2 linked regions of the Caenorhabditis elegans genome follow. The protein of the gene in region 1 interacts with the protein of each later gene in a pairwise test. Each region holds a gene or a part of one and is shown in the gene's direction. Other genes may lie near its edges.

The links.
Region 2: the proteins of unc-10 (region 1) and rab-3 interact in a two-hybrid assay, tested with the Caenorhabditis elegans proteins (one study listed by BioGRID).

What each region holds. Positions count from the first base shown.
Region 1 is NC_003284.9:7,274,193-7,283,692, reverse strand, and holds the start of unc-10 (Rab-3-interacting molecule unc-10), read left to right. Parts: upstream 1-3,370; 5' UTR 3,371-3,391; coding exon 3,392-3,460; intron 3,461-3,609; exon of another isoform or gene 3,610-3,748; intron 3,749-3,793; coding exon 3,794-3,843; intron 3,844-3,902; coding exon 3,903-4,036; intron 4,037-4,090; exon of another isoform or gene 4,091-4,175; intron 4,176-4,215; coding exon 4,216-4,286; intron 4,287-4,700; coding exon 4,701-4,888; intron 4,889-5,001; coding exon 5,002-5,338; intron 5,339-5,395; coding exon 5,396-5,540; intron 5,541-5,649; coding exon 5,650-5,738; intron 5,739-5,945; coding exon 5,946-6,001; intron 6,002-6,048; coding exon 6,049-6,230; intron 6,231-6,289; coding exon 6,290-6,389; intron 6,390-6,738; coding exon 6,739-6,911; coding exon of another isoform or gene 6,912-6,917; intron 6,918-6,964; coding exon 6,965-7,248; intron 7,249-7,347; coding exon 7,348-7,552; intron 7,553-7,600; coding exon 7,601-7,724; intron 7,725-7,781; coding exon 7,782-7,909; intron 7,910-7,955; coding exon 7,956-8,069; and 7 more. UniProt on the Caenorhabditis elegans protein: Regulates the efficiency of a post-docking step of the release pathway. Acts after vesicle docking likely via regulating priming. May regulate the conformational changes in syntaxin.
Region 2 is NC_003280.10:5,718,741-5,731,217, reverse strand, and holds rab-3 (Ras-related protein Rab-3), read left to right. Parts: upstream 1-3,364; 5' UTR 3,365-3,566; coding exon 3,567-3,608; intron 3,609-6,487; coding exon 6,488-6,559; intron 6,560-6,895; exon of another isoform or gene 6,896-7,063; intron 7,064-7,928; coding exon 7,929-8,203; intron 8,204-8,251; coding exon 8,252-8,376; intron 8,377-8,424; coding exon 8,425-8,531; intron 8,532-8,814; coding exon 8,815-8,895; 3' UTR 8,896-9,442; downstream 9,443-12,477. Other genes in the region: C18A3.11 (PAN-3 domain-containing protein), read right to left, coding at 1-185; C18A3.7 (Der GTPase-activating protein YihI), read left to right, coding at 1,130-1,248, 1,296-1,395, 1,445-1,567; damt-1 (DNA N6-methyl methyltransferase), read right to left, coding at 9,443-9,551, 9,600-9,674, 9,994-10,296, 10,345-10,411, 10,459-10,697, 10,751-11,055; zipt-3 (Zinc/iron permease), read right to left, coding at 11,365-11,502, 11,580-11,735, 11,789-12,103. UniProt on the Caenorhabditis elegans protein: Involved in exocytosis by regulating a late step in synaptic vesicle fusion. Could play a role in neurotransmitter release by regulating membrane flow in the nerve terminal. Plays a role in the recruitment of endophilin unc-57 to synaptic vesicles.

The sequences.
Region 1 (9,500 bases):
AAAAAGCAAATTCTAAAAGCGCGATGAGTGTGTCTATTCCACCTTTAAAAATATCTAAAAATACATGATTATTAAAAGTAGAATATAACACTTTTAACTCCCACTCCGGTAGTTTTTTTTTCAAATATAGCTTTTTGACCCATTGCATTTTGCGTTTTTTCACTTCACTTCCCCTTGCACCTGAAATATTCAATTTGCACCCAAAAAAGAGAGCACTTCTCTGTAGTACAAACATGCGCAGTCTGTTTCTATTCTTCCACAACTCTCTGCACCTTTGTTTCCATCAGTATTCCCACATGCACTTCTTTTCCTTGTGCCCTCCAAAAAATATTTTATTTTCTTACGAATCCCACGTTTTACCCACATTGTCAGTGGACCACTGATTGCTGTCAGCTTTTGCCAGGGAAAACCTTTTACCAATTTCTCTCTATCTTTCGTTGTCTTTTTTTTGAAAATTTTCATACACACATAAATGGACATACATTCTTGCGACAACGACACAAGACCCTTTCTGGGTCCTTCCTAACCTTTTTCCCTGCTCGAATGTTTGCAGACGCAATAGTTGAGTGATGTCAGTTATTGACGGAATGTTTTTTGCCTTCTCTCACGTCCACTTTTTCTTGCCCAATACGTTGAAACATTCGAACTGCGCTGAGAAATTGACTCTGTTTGAATTTTGTAAAATTTTCGATGGTAGTTTTTCTAGGTTTTAACTTAAAATTTGTAAATAGCTTTATTAAAACAAAAATAAATTTTTATTTTATTTTTTAATATACTTTGAAACATCTCCATGCTATTTTCAAACAGTTTTTGCTCAGTTCGTGAACTATTTTTTTCCGTACTTTTGAGAAAGTTTTGAATCTGAAAAAATACTTTCTGGATTTCATAAGTTGTTATTCCAAAATTATATATTTAAAATGCAACAATAACTTTCAAAATTATGCAAAAATTATTAAAAGATAAGAAAAACGGGTACTTGTGTATTACATGCCCTCATTTTAAAAGTAATTTTTTAAGATAAAAAAAATGAAAACGTGAAGCATATTCTTGTATTTTTGGGCTTAGGAAATAACCATTTCTAAGCCTAAAAAGGAAAAATGTAAAAAACCCACACACGCAACTTGGGTATTTCAAATATAGTGTTTTTAAAAGTGCATATTTTAAGAGTAATAGTATTAAATAATTTTGATGTGACTTCAATTGTTTTCAGGAACATTTTATGTTTACCATAACCACAAAAACATATACATAAGTAAAAAACAATCAATTGTTTTATCTCGTAGTGGGTTTTTATAGGTATACTTATATTATGATCACTCAAATAACAGATAGAGTTTGAAAACAATTTGAAAATATGTTAAATTGTCATTCATTTTTCAAACTTTGTCCAATTTGATGAAATGTGATTTGAATGCCTTATTTTTAGGTTCAGAAACAGTTTTGTCCTCAAGAAAACCGTACTACGTTTTCACATTCATAACTTTGAAATTCGTTCCGATAGCGTTCCGCTAATAAACAAGAACTCTCAAATGTCTCTGATATATAACAAATCTGAAAAGTATTAATGCACTTCCAAAAGGTAATCTTTATCTTTGAAACATCACATTTACCCATCTAGAAGTTTGTTAATTCTGTTTCTTGTCAGCTATATGAATTGATTCATAACGGATTTTGTCCGCCTTTTATATATCTTCTCATAGTTAATCTAATCTTCAAATCGTGAAAACTCTTTTCATATAACACATTTAGAAATCCAGCCGATGGAATAGGAAAATAGTATATATATATATATATATGGATATGGATATATAAGTGTTGCGAATGTTTAATATTCTCTTTTTTTGAAAAGTTTGTTCGATTGTTGAACAAAAATGTTTTGCTTTTGCTGTGAGTTTTAATAATTAGTTACTTCATAGTCCTAGTAGGAATTCTGAACGTATCTGAAAGGGCATTGAAGGGGCGTGAACTTTTTGGAAAGGTGATCCCTCGTCCTGTTCCCTGTTTGTCTGTCCCCTGTCCTCACCTCCTTCGTCTTCTTTTTCTGTCGTTTTATACTTCTCTTTGCTATGCATTCATGAACAGATAATCCAATTTGAGGCTGAGGCCTGCGTGTGTATGTGTGTGTATGTGTGGAGGCCCTCCAACGAAGAAAGAACAAAACTTGGCAATCTTGAGCATATTGGATAAGCTGCCCGCTGAGTTGCTAATTGTCAACGTTTGGCACAAACGCCACATAGAGCCATCTCGGGATGGAAAGGGAGAGAAGACTGGTTGGGGGAGAAAAGAAGGGTAGAGCCTTTGGAGCATTTTTGTGTTTTGCGGGCGTTGCTCCATCCCTTCGTCGTTTTCTCCACCCTGCGTTTGCGCATCAGTCGCCACACGCCGCTAGCCCCCGAGTCCTAAACCCCTCCCTCCCATCTACACACATCCATTTATTTATTAGAAGAGCTCTGAGTAAAACATGAACTATTCGCTATCCGTGGCCTTGTTTTATTCATTGCTTATATCGCATTCGCCCGGGTTTTCCTCCTGGGCGCGCCTTGTCTTTTTTCTTTTCCTCCCGTTTCACCTCCGTTTTTCCTTTCGCCCTCTTTCTCTTTCCTTACGGATACGGGAGGCTCCCCCCACCCCTATCTTCAAACCTTGTCTTTTTTCCGTGCTCAGGGAAACGAGCATGAATTCATTGTCTCAAATGAATGTCTCCTTTTGTGCATCATTAATCTTGCATCGAATTTTGCTTTTTATTCTTACATGCTTTTGTCCACTTTGCACAAGCTGTCCATTTTTTGTCAATTCAAACATCAGCTTGAACCTTTACCTGTCCATGGTTGGCCTTTTTTTATGGCGAAACCTGGCGAACCCAATATCCATCACCCTTCTATTCCTTTTCTTTTCCCGTTTTCCTTCGCTTCCCACTTCCCCACCTCCTACGCTTATTTCTTATTCCTTTCCCGTTTTAGTGCTCTCTTTCTCTTTTTTGCAAAAAGTTCTTGATAGCAGTAAAGAAAAGAAGAGGAAGACTATTTTTGGATGTCCCGAGTTTCCCACGGTATTCATCGACGTCGTCGTCGAAAATGACCACATCCAGTCTTACTGGGCGCTCATGTCTTGGAAAAGGCGTCATTTTTCAACGTTTCTAATCCCGGACGCTCTTATTTTTCCTCTCTCGGTTTCCCCATCTTTGACGCTGTTCTTTTTTTGTTTCAGCGTTGATCCTGTTTTCTTGTTGGCCTTTATTGACATACAACTCTTAAACCGAACAAATTCGTTTCTATTCTTTCTATTCGGATTGTTATCGCGCTTTAGTCTTTTTATACGCTATGATTTCACATGATGCAATAACTCCTTATTACCTTAAAAATCAAACTTCAGTGCCTCATTAAATATAATCATGGACGATCCGTCGATGATGCCGGATTTATCCCATTTATCTGCAGAAGAACGTGAAATAATAGAAAATGTGAGTTGTTCCAGCACGAACCCCCTCCCCCCCCCCCCCCCCCCCCATCGTTCATTTTGCCCATCCGTCTGCTTCTTGTGGGGTTCAAAAAAGTAGTTGGTGCGGTGTGAGTCCTCTGTCTCGGAGCATGACGGGCCCCCCGAGGGGTGAAAGAGCGAGAAAAGGGGAGGGGTATTACTTACAACGCCGTGAGCACACGCAAAATAATGGATATGCAATCAAACGAGTGTGTGCTCTTATGTACATTCGACAAGAAAATTGGCATGATATCATGCGTGCACATACATATAGAGAATACTCACTCAGAACGCTCATGATTTATGTTTTTTGCAGGTCTTCAAACGACAAAAAGATGAGGAGGCAAAAGAAACACAAATATCACAGTAAGAGTTTTGTAGACACATAATTGCATTGGTATTTCTTCATGCGAATGATTTTCCAGAAAAGCATCTGAAGAATTGTCAGAGTTAGACAAACAGATCACGGAGCGGAAAGAAACATCGAAAAAGCTGGTTGGCACACAAGATGACGCGATCTGTCAAATCTGTCAGAAGACCAAATTTGCGGACGGAATTGGTACGTTGTTCCTTTTCCTGAAGAAGCGATGAGAGCAAAGGGTCCTTCTGTCGCCCTGAGATGAGCCTCGTTTTCTGTTCCTAGTAATTCTCTCCGCGGCGTCAGAGAGCCCCTAACCCTTGGCTGTCATCGTCTCTCTAAAAGGACATCAATTTAGCACAAGATGAGAGGTTTTTCAGGCCACAAGTGCTTTTATTGTCAATTGCGTAGCTGCGCCAGATGTGGAGGTAGAGCACAGAGCAAAAATAAGGTACGAGCGGGAGTGAAAGTGTGGGATGAAATAAGGGGAAACATGAAAGAGAAAGGACAAATTCTGGATGACTGCATTTGAATAACAGAATAAAAACCAATTTGAGCAAAATCGACTTGAACATTTTTGCGATATGATGTTGCAATGTTTATATTTTCACAAAAAAAATCTAAACTTTACAATTTATTATAAAATCATGTTTAATTTTATAGTTAATGAATCTAATTTGGAAATCAAGCGAAATAATCGTTTTTACATCTAAAAAAATACGACAGAAGCTGAAAAACAATAGCATCCATTGTTTGCAAAGTAGTTTGGAATAAAGAGATAAATAGAAAGTATTAGCCCCGTGGGTGCACCGACCGATAAAAAAGTAGAGAAGTGAATTGAAGAGAAGAAGTAAAAAGCTTTCAGGCAATCTGGGCTTGTTCGTTGTGCCAGAAACGTCAACAAATTCTTGCCAAAACAGGCAAATGGTTCCAACCCGAAGAGCAGCCGCAGCCGAAAATTAGCGGCTCCGAGCCAAGCCCTTCGCCCCAACCACTAACTGACGACAACGTACCAGAACCGCAGCAGAGGCGAGCAGAGCCGCCTGATAAAATGTGAGTTTCTTCCGGTTTCTTTTACTTTTCCAAGTTTGTGTTTGATTGTTACATGTTCCTTTGAAGCGTTAGTTTCAATCAATCACAATTCAGACTAATTTTCATATTTTCAGGAACACTCCAAATTATCAAAACAACCAACAACCCCGTGGAATGGGAATGCAGCCAAATCATAATCAAACTCAGCAGAATTTCATGAATCAGAACCAAAATTCAAATCAACATCCAAATCAAAACCACAATCAGAATCAAATGCAGAACCCGCATCAAAATCAAAATCATGTTCAAAATAATCATCAAGGAGCCAACAATCATCAACAGAATAATCGAAGAGCTATGCAACAACAGCCAATGAGTCAAAATCAGGCAAATCAGATAAATCAGATGAATCAAAACCAAAATCAACAACAGAGCCACAATCAGAATATGACTCAAAACCAGAGAAACCAGGTACTTGAAGTTGGAAAGTTCCACGATTATTTCAAATTCTACATGTAAATAATTCAGACTGGCCCCCAAAACCAACAAAGGACAAATGACTCTCGAACTATGAAACAAACGCCTCAACAGCAGCCCAGTCAGTATCAAAACAACGTAGGCGCGGCACATCAACACCATAATCAACATGGACAACAAGAGCAGCATCATCAACGTAAGAGCCTCCAGGGGTATAAAAAGAGAAAGTGAAAAACAAAACAAAAAAGTGTTGTGCGCTAAAATTGCGAACGAGACGCAAATTGATATAGTCTGGATAATTTCAGAAATGAATGAACAACGGACGGATAACAACAGAATGAGAGAGAATACTAACGGGCAAGGAGGAATGTTCAATAGGCAGCCGTCATTAGAGGTGAAGGGATCAGGGATATCAAAAACGAGCTTTTGAAAAAAGATTGAGCAGCTTATTATTAGGGTGATACTTCTGTAAAAGTAATGAACAAATGTGAAGAATCATCTAGAGCGGAAAATTTGGTCAGAATTACAGTACTGTCGTACAAAGTTCAGAGTAGAAAAATATATTAAAATGAAAAAAAAAACGAAATTGTTTCTAATTTAGCAAACTACGCCCATGAACAAATACAATCACGTTGAGGATGATGGCATGAACCAGCGGTAAGTATCCCATAAAGTTTAAAAACTTGATACCCACTTGCTTTCAGACCCACGTTCTACACTGGAAATTCCGAGAATGACCAAAGACAATTTGATGGCCAAATGCAACAGGGCTCACAACAAAATAATCAGAATCAGAACCAAAACAACCGAAATCTTAGAAAAAACACAGTCAGCCGGGTAACAGAGGAGGATTATGCAAGTTCGTCAAACTTCGAATCTAAGAAACGTAAGATGATATCATATCGATAATACCTTGCTAAATTCTATTTTGAGAATCAATTTCAGAGCGGAACAACTCTTCACAGAGTCAGTCCAACACGCAAGGCGTGCGAGCATGTCCTTCTACTGACGACCATTTGAACCGGGTGAAAAATCGATTGCATAGGTGAGCAAGTGTAATTTGGCTAATGGAAAAAATAGACAAACTCAATTGAGTAATGTCTTTTTTGTACTAAGTGCTCAAGCTTTGAGTTCATTGCTTTCCCTCTTCCAGTTACGTCTCCATTTTCTCATTATTTAGCATGACTTCCTTTTTGTTCTGCTGATCACTTTTTTAGTCAAACCAACAGCAAAACAGAAACCAGAAGAGCGCCTTTCGGTTTCAATGCAAATTTTTAATGAGCATTGCCTCATTTAGCTTTTTTCGCTCTTCATCAGTAGTTCAATTTCACATAAACTGCATTTTTTGTCATACATTCTTCTTCATTTTATTTGTTCAAAGTAATTGTTTGAAGGCAACTTCGATCAATGTCATCTTCTGAAGAGGATATTATTGCTGGAGGCGGTGGTAACACTTTGAAGATGTCTACGTCAGCAGTTGTGGCCTCTGGTGGGAAAACCGCATTTCATGATGATATGGGAGCGTCGAATGTGCAGAGGTTGTCCGAGGAATGCAATTCTGAGAAGGGTTTGTGTGCGTACTCTTGAAATCCCATGTTGACATTTTGATGAGTTTTTCAGACCTCCTTCGATATATTTATGGCGATCATAAAAACTCGGATTCATCGTCGTTGGGCGCTGGTGTAGGCGGCAGTGGTGGTGGCGGTGTCTTGAGCGGAAACAGCGTGCTGAAAAGTAAATCACATGCTTTACTGAAGGGGTCTTACCAAGGGGGTTTAGACATGCAAGCTAATCGAAGGCGTGACAAATCGCTGTCCTTGTCACCATCGAGAAATGATCATTTTGGAACAGGGAGCATATCTGGCGGAGATTTGTTGGCATCACGGATACGAACATTTTTATCAGTAAGCCTGTTTTGATACAAAAATTATAACTAAATGTCCTACATATTCAAAAAAAAAAGTTTAAAAGTTTGACAAGTTTCCAATTGGCAATGTTTTCAGCATCCTGTAACATGGCAACCTTCTGCTGATCAGAAAAAATTAATAGGGCACATGATACTTCATCGAACTGAAAATTCTGCAGCCAACGGGGATCTCGGTTTAAAAATTGTAGGCGGCCGAAGAACGGATACCGGGAAGCTCGGTGCATTCATTACTCAAGTTAAGCCTGGCAGTGTGGCGGACACCATTGGAAGACTCCGTCCTGGTAATGAGTTTTGAAGTGAGAGACTTTTTTCTTCAACTTTTTTTTCAGGCGATGAAGTAGTAGAATGGAATGGACAGTCTCTGCAAAATGCCACATATGAACAAGTATATGATAGCATCGCTGCAAGCAGATATGATACTTCTGTCGAGCTGATTGTTAGTAGGAGTGCAATGTAAATATACATTTTATTTTTAAACTCTGTCAACATTTTTAAATCTCGTCTTTCCAGTATTCCTGGAGGTGACGACTTCCTCAACCTTACTCCCTCACAAATGTCATCCTCGGCGTATTCAAGAGTGCCATCTGCATATCCATCTCAATTTCAGCGTCAATTACCCAACCCTGACCTTTTTCTTGGTACAATTAGAACTGAGAACTTCAGAATTAAATAATTTGTTTTCAGACATACATCCCGCTTTACAACAATTATCATTACCACATTCACAATCAGCCGTATTCCCTCATAATAACACATTGACTTCACGCAATCGTTCGACATCAAGCTATTATTATTCAGGTATTCTAACCATGTTAACTTTGGTGTAGATATTTTTTTTTGATGAAAAATAGTTCACATTTTGTTAAAATGTCATCATGATTTTTTTCTAGATGTGCCCGACCTTGGTGTTCCAAGCAATAGGGAGATGCAGGAGAGCCAAGCTTTTGGAACAGGACACATATTTGGACGAATAGAAGTTTCATTTGTGTATTCTCATCATGATCGACAACTCTCAGTTGCTCTCGTTCGTGGGTTTGATCTACCACCAAGATCCGACGGGACTCCCAGAAACCCATATGTGAAAATATTTTTACTGCCTGATAGAAGTGAAAAATCTAGACGGCAGTCTGCTGTTATAGCAGAGACACTCATGCCAGTTTGGGATGAAGTTTTTTACTATAATGGCCTTACTGAACCGATGTTGTTGCAAAGAGTACTAGAGGTTTGTTTTTAACTTTTTAAATTTTGTTTGCATACTGAAACTTAACTTTTTAGCTAACTGTCTGGGATTACGACAAATTTGGTACAAACAGTTTTCTTGGCGAGACATTGATTGATTTGGCGTCAGTGCCACTTGATGGAGAACATTCACTCATGTGCATTCTTGTTGATATGGATGACGATAACCCGCTGAGAACGGTAATTAGTATTTTCAAATTCCATGTTATTATTCTCACTTTTTTGCAGCGTTTAAAATTGAGAAAAGCGTCATACAACGCACCGACACGACGTCCGCAGTCGGAGCTCAATTATTACGATCACTCCTCCAACTATTATGACCACATCAGTCAAAACATAGACAAGCAGCCGCATCATCATCATCTTGCCCCAAATGACGAGGAGAATGATGAATACATTGACGACGACGAGCTTGAGAACGACATTGACCTGGCGACAGGCGGTGGCGCGCGGAAGAGCAGGACATATAGACGTGAGAAAGGGATGCACGGTGGACATGGGTATGCTGATTGGACACAAAACCACCAACGTCAATCAGGCTACACATCTGATCATGGGTATGGAAGGCAAAACATGATTGGTCGAGCCTACAACCGACGACAGCAAAGACGTCCGCGTAGTGCAACCGCACTATCGCAAAGTAAGTGTGTAAAAAATAGGTGACAGAAAATGCATGTGAGAGTTACGTCATGAATGTGCAGATTAGTTGAAAGAGTCGGGCTTCACCTATTAAATTATTCATGAGTCCTCATCAAATTTGAATGTTTGGAAAAAAAGAGTTTGAGTTATTTTCAGTGGAAAGGGAGGATATGTACGATCCAACAAGGAAGCATCGGGATGACAATGAGTACTCAATGAGAGAATCGTAAGTTATTTATGTTCAGATACTTGCTTCAAAGTGTAGTGATTCAGATATATTTTATGAAAATAAAGAACAATAACTTTTGAGCAGTATTTAAAATATAAATACGTTTTATTTCTCAACTTATA
Region 2 (12,477 bases), on another chromosome or scaffold:
TCTTTGTTTGAGATAATATTTCCACTTTGGATATCTACTTTCTCTACCATCCCGAATATTTTCATCATTTTCAGTTCGCCTAAAACTATATTATAGAAAAAAATTGTTTTGTTTTGCCAACCTGAGTTACAGACTCCCACAAACAGAATGAGATGGAGAAAAATCAAATTATAATTCAGATGCATTGAAAGTAGGCAGTCGAAAAAAGAAAATGTGAGATGTCTAGAAGAGTGTTGTAAAGTTGTAAGTAGGATGTTTCCATAGAGAGCATAATTTATGGCTTGAAGTTAGAAGATTTAATTTCACAGTTTTATGTTTAAACCAGACTACAAAAAAATCACATAACAATGATCAAACTTTTTTCAGGTCTTGGGCATCGGTCAGTCTCTGGTCAATCGTGCTAAATCACGAGGATCTCCACTAGGTGACAAGGCTTTCCAACTTTTCATTTCAAGAGATCTCTTCCAGAAGCCCTAATTGAACAATGATATATCCAACATCTGACCAATGTATGTTCAAGATGTACTTAAGGACTCTTCACAACATTTAGGTGTAAGTTACCAACAGTTGGTCAAAACCACTGTCGAGAACTTGATCTGTTCCAAAATTATGTTAGTTGATTTTTTCAATTATTTTATTTCAAATTCTGACTCTACAATTAAAAGTGAAATAATAAATTGTTTTTTAATGACACGGCAACAAACTACGTTGTGTTATGAACTTTCCAAAACATCCACGTGACTTAGTTTTTAGTTCCCTCGGAAGAAATAAATTCAGTTTAACTTTTACGAGCATCAAAGTTGTTCAAAATTTTCATTGCCGGATTGATTTTTTAGCTGCATTGCTGACAAGTGAGTTGAAATTACAGACATTTCAGGTACTATTGTATATGTCATTCGGGTTCAGATTTTTAGCCAGAGTTTAATTTCTTATTTCCAACTTGGCATATTTTAACTATTTATTTGACAAACTACGGAGATTTGCTTTCCACGAAACCTCAGCTTTTGGTAACTCTTGAGCTGCTGAAACTATTGATTGCTTGGTAAATTCACGTCATGCTGATGTCCAAAATTTTAAATCAAAATCAAGTGGATACCTCTTTTCAATTTATATTCTCAGGATCAAAAGAATGGACAAAGGAAAAGGTTCAAAAAGATCAACACCAAGTTTGCGCGCCAAGAAGAAAACTGGCACGGATAGACAGAAGCCGTCTGTAAAACAAAATGCATCTCAAAACTCAAAGAAGAGGTAATTTAATATATCTTTGAACTGGCTTTTAATATTTCAATTTTCAGTAGCAGACAGAAAAAGACCCCCAGTGTTGGAAAAGAACGGGAACAAGCAACGGATAAGAAACGAGAAATTGAGAAAAAACCACAGGAAAAGACTGCTTTGGTCAGTTGGAGAAATAATACGTAATCGATTACAATTGTTTTGTTTTCAGGATGAGCAGCAAAGGAAAGCTCAAACGGAGACTATCAGCAACTTGGAAATCCTTCCGGACAAGAATCCTGCTAAAATGGATGACGGTTATGAAGATTTCGGTCCTGGTGCAGCTGCTCGCTAAGTGCATCTTCTTTTGAGAATTCTGGTTTCTGGGAAATAAAGTGCTTATACTTTCCTCACGTTTACTACATATAATGCATTTGGGATGTTTTTTCTCAGTTTTAATAAATAATTTTGTATAGTTTCCTTCAAAGCACAACTAACAAAACGAGAAGGTTTAATGTTAAACATGTCGAAATATGAAGTCGCAATTCCCCTAGAGGTGTTTTAAATAAACACTTCTTCTCTTTTGGAATAACTGCTCCACTAAACTGTTCACACAGGAGCAGGAGAGCCTACCGATGAGCCTATAAGACTTGTGTAATTCATCTGAACAATTTTATACGAAACATGGGAAGTTTGAAGTTTTTTGCAGTGGTTTACAGTTTTCGCCAATGACTTGGTCTTAGACTGCTTTTGTTGTTTGCATTTAACATTGAAAGTGACCAGTAGTTGTCAAAAGAAGAACTTCAGCCAAAAATTGTAAAGCCTTGCAAAAAAATGCACGTTTGTCCGAGTTTAGTACAAAGTACAGTCTTTTAAACAAAAACCCAAAGGAGCGAGTTTTGACTGGCTTTCAAAAACTGAGTGATTACTAATTATTTTTGAAAAAATTAACAGTTGTGATATGATATTTAGACATTTTTGCAATATATAATTTGTTTGAAAAAAAAACATTTTTTAATGGTCTTCGAAGCTATAATAGTTTTTCGTAAAATTTTAAATAAAACAGCTGACAGATATCCACATTCAATAATTGAAAGTATGCAGTTCTCTTTTTTTTTGTCAAATAGAAAAAAAGTAACAGATGGTCAGATATAATCTAGGTTAATCTGACTCTGGTCATCGATGAACTCATTTTCATCATAATCATTCTTCTTTCAAATGGTCTGTTCGGAATTCGAATATTCAATAAATGGATATCTTATTAGATGCTCCGGATTTATTCCACCAAACTTCCAAGACGTAAGTTCAATTTAAACAAAATTACTATAGCTTGAAAAAATGAGAAAAAACGAGCAGATAAAAAAATAACAGAAAAAATCCATAAAAATGACGAGGGTTCCGTGCGAAAATCGTCATTGTTTTTGGCTTGCATCACACTTTTCCGCGAGTCAGCCACACTGTTTTATCGATTATTATTTTTCTGATTTCAGAAACCGGAAACTTACAACTGAGATGCTTTCATTTTGATTTTTTTAAATTTAGTTTTGATTTCAGCGATTTGTTTGAATATAATTATGCATGAGTTGGCTTTTGCATTTTTAGATAAATAAGTTCACATGCTCGGACAAATTGTGTGGTTTAATCTGTGAAAGTTTTGAATCTTCTGTTTGAAAAAAAAACATTTTTAATTTGTATATACGAGTGAATTGGTTAGGCCCTGGTTACGTTTTCCAGCGAATTCATTCAAATTTCTTATTTTTTCTATTTTTTCAATTAAATAATTTAGTTCTCTATCACATGTGTATGATCAAAATTTCATTCCTAATCGTAAGCAAATTTAGGCTCATCCGTAGTATAATTTTGTTATGAAGGGCTTCACAGTAAAAGCTCAAACTCCAACATTTAGCAACTAGCAACCAACAAAAAACCAAAGAAATGTCAGTTTTGAAAAGTCGTTATTTCTTTGTCTTCTCACAATTCACACATCATCTTCTCGTTTTCCTCCGTTTTTTTGTCGTGCTTCCTTCTTTTCTTTACACATTTTTCTAACCTTTTTTTAAGTCTATCCTCTCCTAATCCTTTGTACTCTCTAATCAGTTTTGCTGGTTGTGCTGCACAATTTTTATCAGATTTATGCGCGAAACAAAAGCCTCTCGCGGAGAGCTCCGCCAAATCCGGTCTTCTTTTTTCCTTGCCTATCGGATTTCACAAACATTCAGTTTGTCACTTGACGATGTGTTGGAGGCATTACTACTAGGAAGTGTTATTCATATTTTTTATTCGTTTCTTTTTGGTGACTAAACGAAATATTCCGAACGTTTTCCTGATTTCAGGCGGCGGAAACGAAGAAGACCATGAATAATCAACAGGCTGCCATTGCATCCGCCAGAAGTCGAGTGAGTTCTTTGAAAATCTTTATTAGAGTTATTTGTGACAATTTGCCACTTTTTTTTTAATGTTTAATGAATCTGTAACGAAATTAATACCAAGGGTGTCCAACAGAACTATCTGAGCGGTTATTTAATTTTTAGATAGTATATTTCTTCCGATCGTAACATACATATTTTCAAGCATAGTACTGTGATTTAAGTTACAGTTTTCCAATCAGTCTTGATTTTAATAAAAACTTTTCAACTGCAAAAATGCCTCTGAAGTATTTTTCTATATTTTTATAGTTGAATAATTTTTTGATTGGCACAAAGACCGCCGAGATATGAGCCGTTAAAGTAAAGCTGCATGGATTCAATATGGTTTGTATTTGATTGGAGTCACTTACATGGAAATATTTGTATTTAAATCTCATATTTTAAAACAAGACAAACACCAAATTAAATTTTTATTAATCTGAACATTTTTCAATCGATTTGGTAAACAAATTATTAGATGTTTCCCTCAAAAATTGTAACAATTCCTAAATTGTGGCACTTATAATAACATCGTCCTGAATTCTCAAAAAAAACCGAATGCTAAGAGAGATTTCGTTTAACTGGGACCTGTAACTGAATTTTCAAATATTGGCAGTTTTTGATAAACTGGGAGGGAAATCAAAAACCAAAACTACAGTACCCCTCGTGTTATAATAAATTGTCATTCACTCCTTTTTTGTTCCCAACATTTGCTCCCATCTCCTGACGAGAAAGAACAATTTTATGAGCACGGGAACCCGTGGGCGTCCATCCGTTCCTCCTGTGCAATTTCAGCCCCCTTCCTCTACATTCTCTGTGTTCCCGTTTTTATCGTTTTATGGGTATCGGGAACGGACAGATCGCTTCCATTTGCTTCTATTCCGTCCTCACAAGACGTCCCACTAACTGATTTTCTTCTGATTTCTTTTCACTGAAAATGGGAAAGAAAGAAAAAGACGATGAATCGACGACTTCTTCTCAGGAGAAGGTGAAGAAGAAGGATAAGGAGAAAGTTCATCTAAGGCTGAAAGATAAAGTAAAAAAACTTAGAAAATCTAAGTCGATTGCAGTATCTTCTCCAGCTGATTATATGACTTGTCAGTGTGAACCATGCAAAAAAGTAGCTCTCGAGGTAATAATTTTTAAACTCAATACGTAGTTAAGTTTGAACTCCTTTTAATTTACTTATCATCTAATTTACCGTCACAATAGTACTTCCATTAGCAATTATTTTAAAATTACATGCATAGCTTCAATGTTCGTTTTTTTGCGTTCTCATATCGTATGTTGTCTGCCTCTCGAATACTGACTGTCCGACTAGAATGTCCCGGTAGGATTACTGTACGGTCACTGGGAATAAACTGTTTCTGAAATCAATCTGAAATTCCGTAGATCTTCTTGGTTCAATTTCTTATTCCTCAATCTTTGGACAACGTCACCTTCAGAGTCGTCGTTGAGTATCCCATCATTAACTAGTCAATCTTTCTCTCTTTTTCATTTCCCCCAACTTTTCTGCATATTTTTTGACGACGACGACCTCGACGGCAACGAGAATACATTTATCTATTTTTTAGTATAGCATATATACATTTTCTACTTTTCTCTAACCCATTTCAGACGTATAGATTTTGGTTTTCGAATGCAACTTTGAGATTTTTCAAAGATCTTCAGATGGGAGCAGTGGACTGTCTATTTGATATTCTTAAAATGTACTCTATAAAAGATGAAACTGTAATGACCAATTCCCTACATAAATATTTTTAACTAATTGGTCGGATATTTGGGGATCAGAGAAGTACTTGTTTTTGCGATATTAATAATGATATATTTTTCTAGTAAAAAAATGTTAAGCGATTTGTGAATAATTAAGTTGGCTTGAAAAAGATTTTTTGATAGCTATGTATTTTGTTAATTTAAATCAGATTTTAAAACTTTATTATTGACTATTTATATATATTATATATTATATATTTTCATGGTTTAATCAAAATCTATTAAATTATTTCTAAAATCTCTAAATATCGAATTCTCTAAAAAGCTTCATCAACAAAAGCATTTCAATTATCTAACACAATGAGAATAATTCAAGAACTGAAATAGAAAGAAATCTAGAAAAAAAAGAGAGTGAGGTGCCCTATTAAATCGGTGCTCTCCTCTCTAACAGAAGCGCCTACACGCACCCAAGAGAGCTCTTTTTCTTTCTTTTTTCGGAGCACACATACACGCATACACTCCTCAGAAGTGTATAGAGAAAATGGGAGAAGAAGCGAAAGAAGACGAAGAAGCGGTTGTGATGTATGCATCGGGCGTTTCTATCTCTCTCCGTGAGCAACGAGCTAGTCAACCCATCGATCCATTTTTGTGAGCACACACAGAGAGAGACTCAAACACACTCACAGCTTCACACTGAGCTCCAAGAGCTCTGTAGAGAGAAGCCAGAGTATGCTTTCCTCGATTTTCCTAACGTCTTCTTCTTCTGCTTTTTTCTTTTTCCCAACGAGTTGTAGTCCACTAACTTCAATTTTTCCTCCAGAGAAAGAGTTTTAGAGAGACAGCTGATAAATACACTAGAGAAATAAAAAGAATGATAAAAATTTGCTATTTTAATCAGTTCCCTCTCGTTTCTCTAAGTTTTGTTGTTGGGTTGGGAAATTAAAATTGGAAAATGGAAATAACGTTTTTTTCTGTCTAATCTTGAATTCTCCAGACATTTCTTATTTCCTTTTTTGTTGCAAGTTTTTCTTCCTTCTCTAATTTTTAATCAAAGATATCTCGCTATGAACTTTGAATTTTTGATATTTTGATTCTATAAATACATAAAGTAATCTAAATGCTCTTTTAAAATAAATCTACAGTAGCCCTATTTTCAGATGGCGGCTGGCGGACAACCTCAAGGCGCTACACCGGGACAACCCGATCAGAACTTTGACTACATGTTCAAGGTGAGAAGAGCTTTTTAAAGTGGAGGCTTAAGATATTTATTATGAAATATTTATGATGTTGTTGACCTAGTTGGTAGGGTGTTTTGAAATGTAGAAGTTGAAATAAAATATCATATAAATATAGGCATGCCATCCCTATTAGTAACTATTTTTCAATAGCGCTTTTTATAAAAGGGTGAGATAATTCATTAAATCTTTGGGGATATTAAGAGGGACAGGATCAACTAATAGATTAAAAAAAAGTTTTAACTGGTATTTTCAAAAAAACCGCCCGGAATCGCCTCCTAAAAACTCTATAAAAAGACCTTTAAAAAATGCATTTAAAAATTTGATTTTATTTCACAACAGATCATAGTTTGCTTAATTTTTTTTTTAATTTTTGATTACTTAAAAGTCCTTTACAAAATTTTGCCAAACGACCAGTTTGAAAAATAATTGCGTTGTTAATTTGATCTAAAAACAGATTTAAAGTTTGTTTCTTCATTTTTTCCAAGTAACTAACTACATACATATAATTGCACCCTCTCATTCGTTTTTTTAAAACAAAAATTCAGAATGAATATTTTTTTTCTAGTAATTATTCTAACTAATTACTGTGTCTCTCGTTCTTTTTCCTACAATTTTCATTTTCCCTCCTCTACACGTTTTTCTCTTCGCCCGTAATTTCCAGTCGAGTGCTCTTTTTCCAACTCTCCATCCTCTCTTTGAGCTTCCCGTTGCTCCCAGAAGAAAAGAGGAAATTCGTTGGAAAAAAAAACTTTCACTTTTCTTTCTTCCATCCTTCAGAAATAGGGAGAGGAAAAGAATCGATGGGTGTCTCTGGGAGACTCTCTGGTTTCATATTTTATTTGACAAACCGGGACTCACTTTTTCGTAGAATAAAAGGGAGTGAGAGATGGAAATGGAAGAAGAATGGAAAAATGAGAAGAGCTACACGAATTCTGTTGCGAATATGAATAACACGAGAAAAGGAAATAAAAAAGAAAAAGAAATAGCTCGCAAAAAAAACTAAATTTGGCGGGGGAATCTGAAGATTGGGATAAATTTTTATTGACTGTGGAAAAGTGACAATTACTCAATTTTGCAAAACTTATCTTAGGTTTCAAATATATATATATATATATATATATATATATATATATTTTATCTTAGGTTTCAAATACCTAAATTTGAACATTTTTGGAAATGATAGCAATACTCCAAATTCAACAAAAATTCCAATCTTCGAAGGGTTCAATTTTAATGTTTACTTTTTTTTGGAATGTTATGAGAGTATTTATAAAAATTCCAGCAGACAATACTTCGCCTTTGAATAGATAAGAAACCGCAAAAATTGCCCAATCCTAAAATTTTATCCTAATTTTTTCAGCTCCTGATAATCGGAAATTCATCAGTTGGAAAAACATCATTCCTCTTCCGTTACTGTGATGATTCATTCACTTCTGCCTTCGTCTCTACTGTCGGAATCGATTTCAAAGTGAAAACTGTGTTCCGTGGAGACAAACGAGTCAAACTTCAAATCTGGGATACCGCCGGACAGGAGAGGTACCGTACCATCACCACCGCCTACTATCGTGGAGCAATGGGATTCATTCTGATGTATGACATCACTAATGAAGAGTCTTTTAATAGTGTTCAGGATTGGTATGTTGAGCATGGTTTTAAGAAAATATGTATCTTGATTCATTTCAGGTGCACTCAAATCAAGACATACTCATGGGAAAATGCTCAAGTTGTTTTGGTTGGAAATAAATGTGATATGGACTCTGAAAGAGTTGTATCTATGGATAGGGGACGCCAACTTGCTGATCAACTTGGTAAGTATTTTGAGAAAAAATTGTGCTGAAAAACGAATTTAATTTTAGGTTTGGAATTCTTCGAAACATCAGCCAAGGAGAACATTAATGTAAAGGCAGTTTTTGAGAAGTTGGTGGAGATTATTTGTGATAAGATGGCAGAGAGTTTGGATAAGGTATGGTTTTGGAATTGTAGATTTTTTAACTTGTTTTTATTTTTGAAAAAAAAACGTAAATTTTATGTATATAGAAAATGGCATGATAGAGATTTATATTCTAACGGTCTCATGGGCCTCATGATTTCCTGCATCTGAAAATTTTAGTTCGCTTCAAAACCCGGGGCATTATCTTTTTTTGAAAAACATTGCAATTTTTGTAAACAAATTATAATTTACAATTTATGTTAGTTTATAAAACACTTCCTCTTAATAAAAATCTTATTAAAAGTAGTTTTTTCAGGACCCACAGCAACAGCCAAAAGGACAGAAGCTCGAAGCGAATCCGACCCAAAAGCCTGCTCAACAGCAATGCAATTGCTAAAAATTCTACGTTCTATTATACTATCTATAAAAACTCAAAATTTTCCCAAATTCCAAACGCAATAATATTAATTTTCTAAAAGCGCGTAGCTCTCAGTTTTCCCTCTCTCAACATCTAGGCACCAGATATATGGATCGTAAATTAACTTATAAATCGAATTTCTATGATTTTTTGGAAAGTAAGTTTTTTTTTAAATTTAACTTATTTTATTTTAGGGCGTAGTTGGTTTAATTATCTTTTCAAATCCTTTTCACTGTCACTTATTAAGTTTTCATTCAGCGCTATTTTTATTAATATTTTAACTTATTCCAACGTTCAATCATATTCCCCATTTGTAAAAAATCAACAATTTCTCTCAACACTTCCAAACAATTCCCAGAGCTGTGTTTTCTAACTAATCATAGTCGCCTATTATTATTATTATTTTATTTATTGTATTTCTCTATTTCCTTATTTCCTAGTGACTTCCCAGTTCCCAATGATTACACCCACCCGCTGAAAGATTGATTTTGGAGGAAATTATTTTCGAGGCATAATAAATTATTTATTACAAAGAGATATTTCGAGTGAAAACATGTTCAGATTGTAGAAGGAATGGTTCGTAACCAACACTGTGGGTTGATGGAAGAAGAGATCGGGCGAAGAGTTCCAGAGGTCTGTAATTTCAATTATTATATTTTGAATCCCAAATTTCAAAATCTGACTCTGTGAATTCGATTCCAAAATGACGGAGAAGATCGAGCAATGGAGGTTTGTGAGAGTGTACTGACATTGGAACGCTGAAATTGTATTTTATTGGATGTTTCTACTATTTTATCGATTCCCTAAAAAGTGTGATTTTTGATTCTAATCATGGCATAGTGTCCTAGCACGAGCGAAACTTTTCACCCTTCCGTACCCCCACAAGTACTGTAGAGTTGCACTTTTAGTAATTTTACTGATTTGACTTTGAAAAAAAAACAAAAAATGATTGAGAAAATAGTGATAAATGTAAAGAAAATTGGGTTACGGTAACTGAAACATTTCTTCCGTCGCAGGACCCAAGATCTCGGTTTGTGATAAAAAATCAATTTTTGCAAAAAGTTAATAAAACGCCACCTGGCAAAAACAAAATTCTCCGGCAACTCAAACTTTCTCATCGAATCCTTTTTCTTCGCCAACATCAGTGATTCAAATGGAACTTTATGTTTTTGGTTATCAAAATCATAAACTGGATCTCCTTGTGTTGTGATTTTCAGCAATTTCCAAGTGGCAACAACTTCCATTCCCCATTTATCGAATCTTTCTATCATTTCTTCCTCAATTCCTATCCGATTTGTGATCCAGAAAGCAATCAGAGCATCATGAGTTAATATGACAGGAATATCGAGACAATCTAGAACTTCTTCGTCCATTTGATATCTGGAAATAAATGCATCTGTGGAGTTTCTTGAAAATTTCAAAACGCACGTTCGTTTTCGTTTCACTGATTTACTGAACCATGGTGGATCGGCAATGATCAAGTCGAAGAGGAGATCTGGAATCTAATACTTTAACATTTCAAACAGGAATTTGAAAGCTAACCATGTGCTCTTGAATACTGTTCAATATCCTTCACATCTCCAACATGAAATGTAGATTTAGGAGGTATATAGAATTTTGTTCCGTCTGAATTTTCAATGATACCCGGCTTGTCGCCAGAGCACCGTACCCAATTGTTGATCATTCCATTCGACATTAAATTACTCAAGGATTCTGATTTCTGGAACTCGATTATTTGCTCTGAAGATGCAGAAGCACTGGGGATTGACACGTTCAACGCTCTGAAATATATAAATGTATGATATTTAGTTTACAGCATTTTTCATCCACTAACGTTTCCGCAGCTTTTCTGGATTTCAAATTATTGTCCAAGATTGATTTTTTCTTAAAAATTTTTAATTCAGTGCCAACATTTTTAATCTTTAATGCCATTTGTTCCATCCTATTTGAATTTTCTGAAGTTTCTTTAATTTTTCTTTTTCGATTTGAAATTCCGCGACGCTTGATGGCTTCGAATTGCGAATCGGGCATAAATTTTGAGCTGATCTCATATAATTCTGAGCGAGTTTTCAGATTTAGTTCTTTGAAGACTGAATCGTAGTATTTCTCTTCATCAAGAATCGCAAATTCTGTGTCCATGTGAACTATTGACATCTAAAACCTCATGTTCTGCCAAAAAAAAGCTCATTAACAGGTGATGAATGTATTTCCCAAAGACCCAGAATCTGTAGACATACTGAAAGGGAATTCGAAAAATGCAAATTTTTATTATTTAAAAAAAAAGACCGAGATCAGAACGATGAATTTCAAAATTATGCATCAATGGATTGGGGGAACTTTGGGGAGAATGCTCACAACACATGAATTAAAGTGACTACAATTGAAGAAATGATGAATAAATATGAACAAAAAAGATAATAATTGAAAATAAGATAAATTAAGATGAGCTCAATGGTGCTCACCAATGAGTGATTTTATAATTACAAATATTCCGATTCCAGCGGCCACGAATAGCGACTTGACGAGTGAAATCCAATGAGAAGAAGAATGATTTGAGTGTGAATGAGTTGTGTCAGCAATAACATTCTGAAAATTGGGAAATCAGTTTTTGAAATAATAGTTTTTGAAATAATTGAAATAATAAAATATTAAAAAAAACTAACATGACTATGTCCATGACCTCCTTCTCCGCTGTCATCTGAATGCAACTCCATTGGAAGAAGCTCAACAAGAGCCACGTGTACAAAAGTTCCTGCTGCTAATCCTTCAAGCCAATATCTTCCAATTCTTTGCCACATGTCGTTTTCGATTCCGTCAATCTAAACTTTTCAAATTTAAAATTTAGAAAATATCGAGTTGATAAAAAATATACCGTTGTAGCGAGAATCATTCCAGCTGGAATTGTAGCTGACAAGAAGATTGATGAAGTCCATGCATACTTTCTTGAAGCATTATGCTTTGCCAGTTGAACTCCATACGAGACACAACACAGCACTTCATGAAAAAGGACGGCAATCAAAATCTGCCAAAACGCGTTTGAATCATTCTGAACGCCGAGAGCAACTCCTTCGAAGAATGAATGAACTGACATTCCAAGAAGAAGAAACCAGACACGAATGTTCATTGATCCACCGGGGGCAGTTCGACAATGTCCTGATGAAGGTGCATGGTGATGAGGGCTCGTGTTCTACAAACGTTACAAATGAAATTTGAAGAAATAATGCTTCTTGGTGTTTTTTTTACTGTACTCAAAATGACACAAAAATGCATTTTTCAAAATATTTTCCAATTTCAGCTAAAACCTCTTTTCCGTGTCATAGTGGATGGCAATTGATATTTATTTAGTTTTTGTTCTACTATGTAATTTTTTTTCCTTGATCCACGATAATGATATGCAAAACAGAACAATATTTTTTTTATAAAAACAATTTCCGTTTGCTACAACACGGAAAATTTGGCAAAGCTTAAGATTTTTTCTAAAATTAGGCTCTTTTGACCATTTTTGAGGTTTGAGTAGAATAAAGCAAATATAACTTTTGATCGATTTTCTTATTTTTAAGG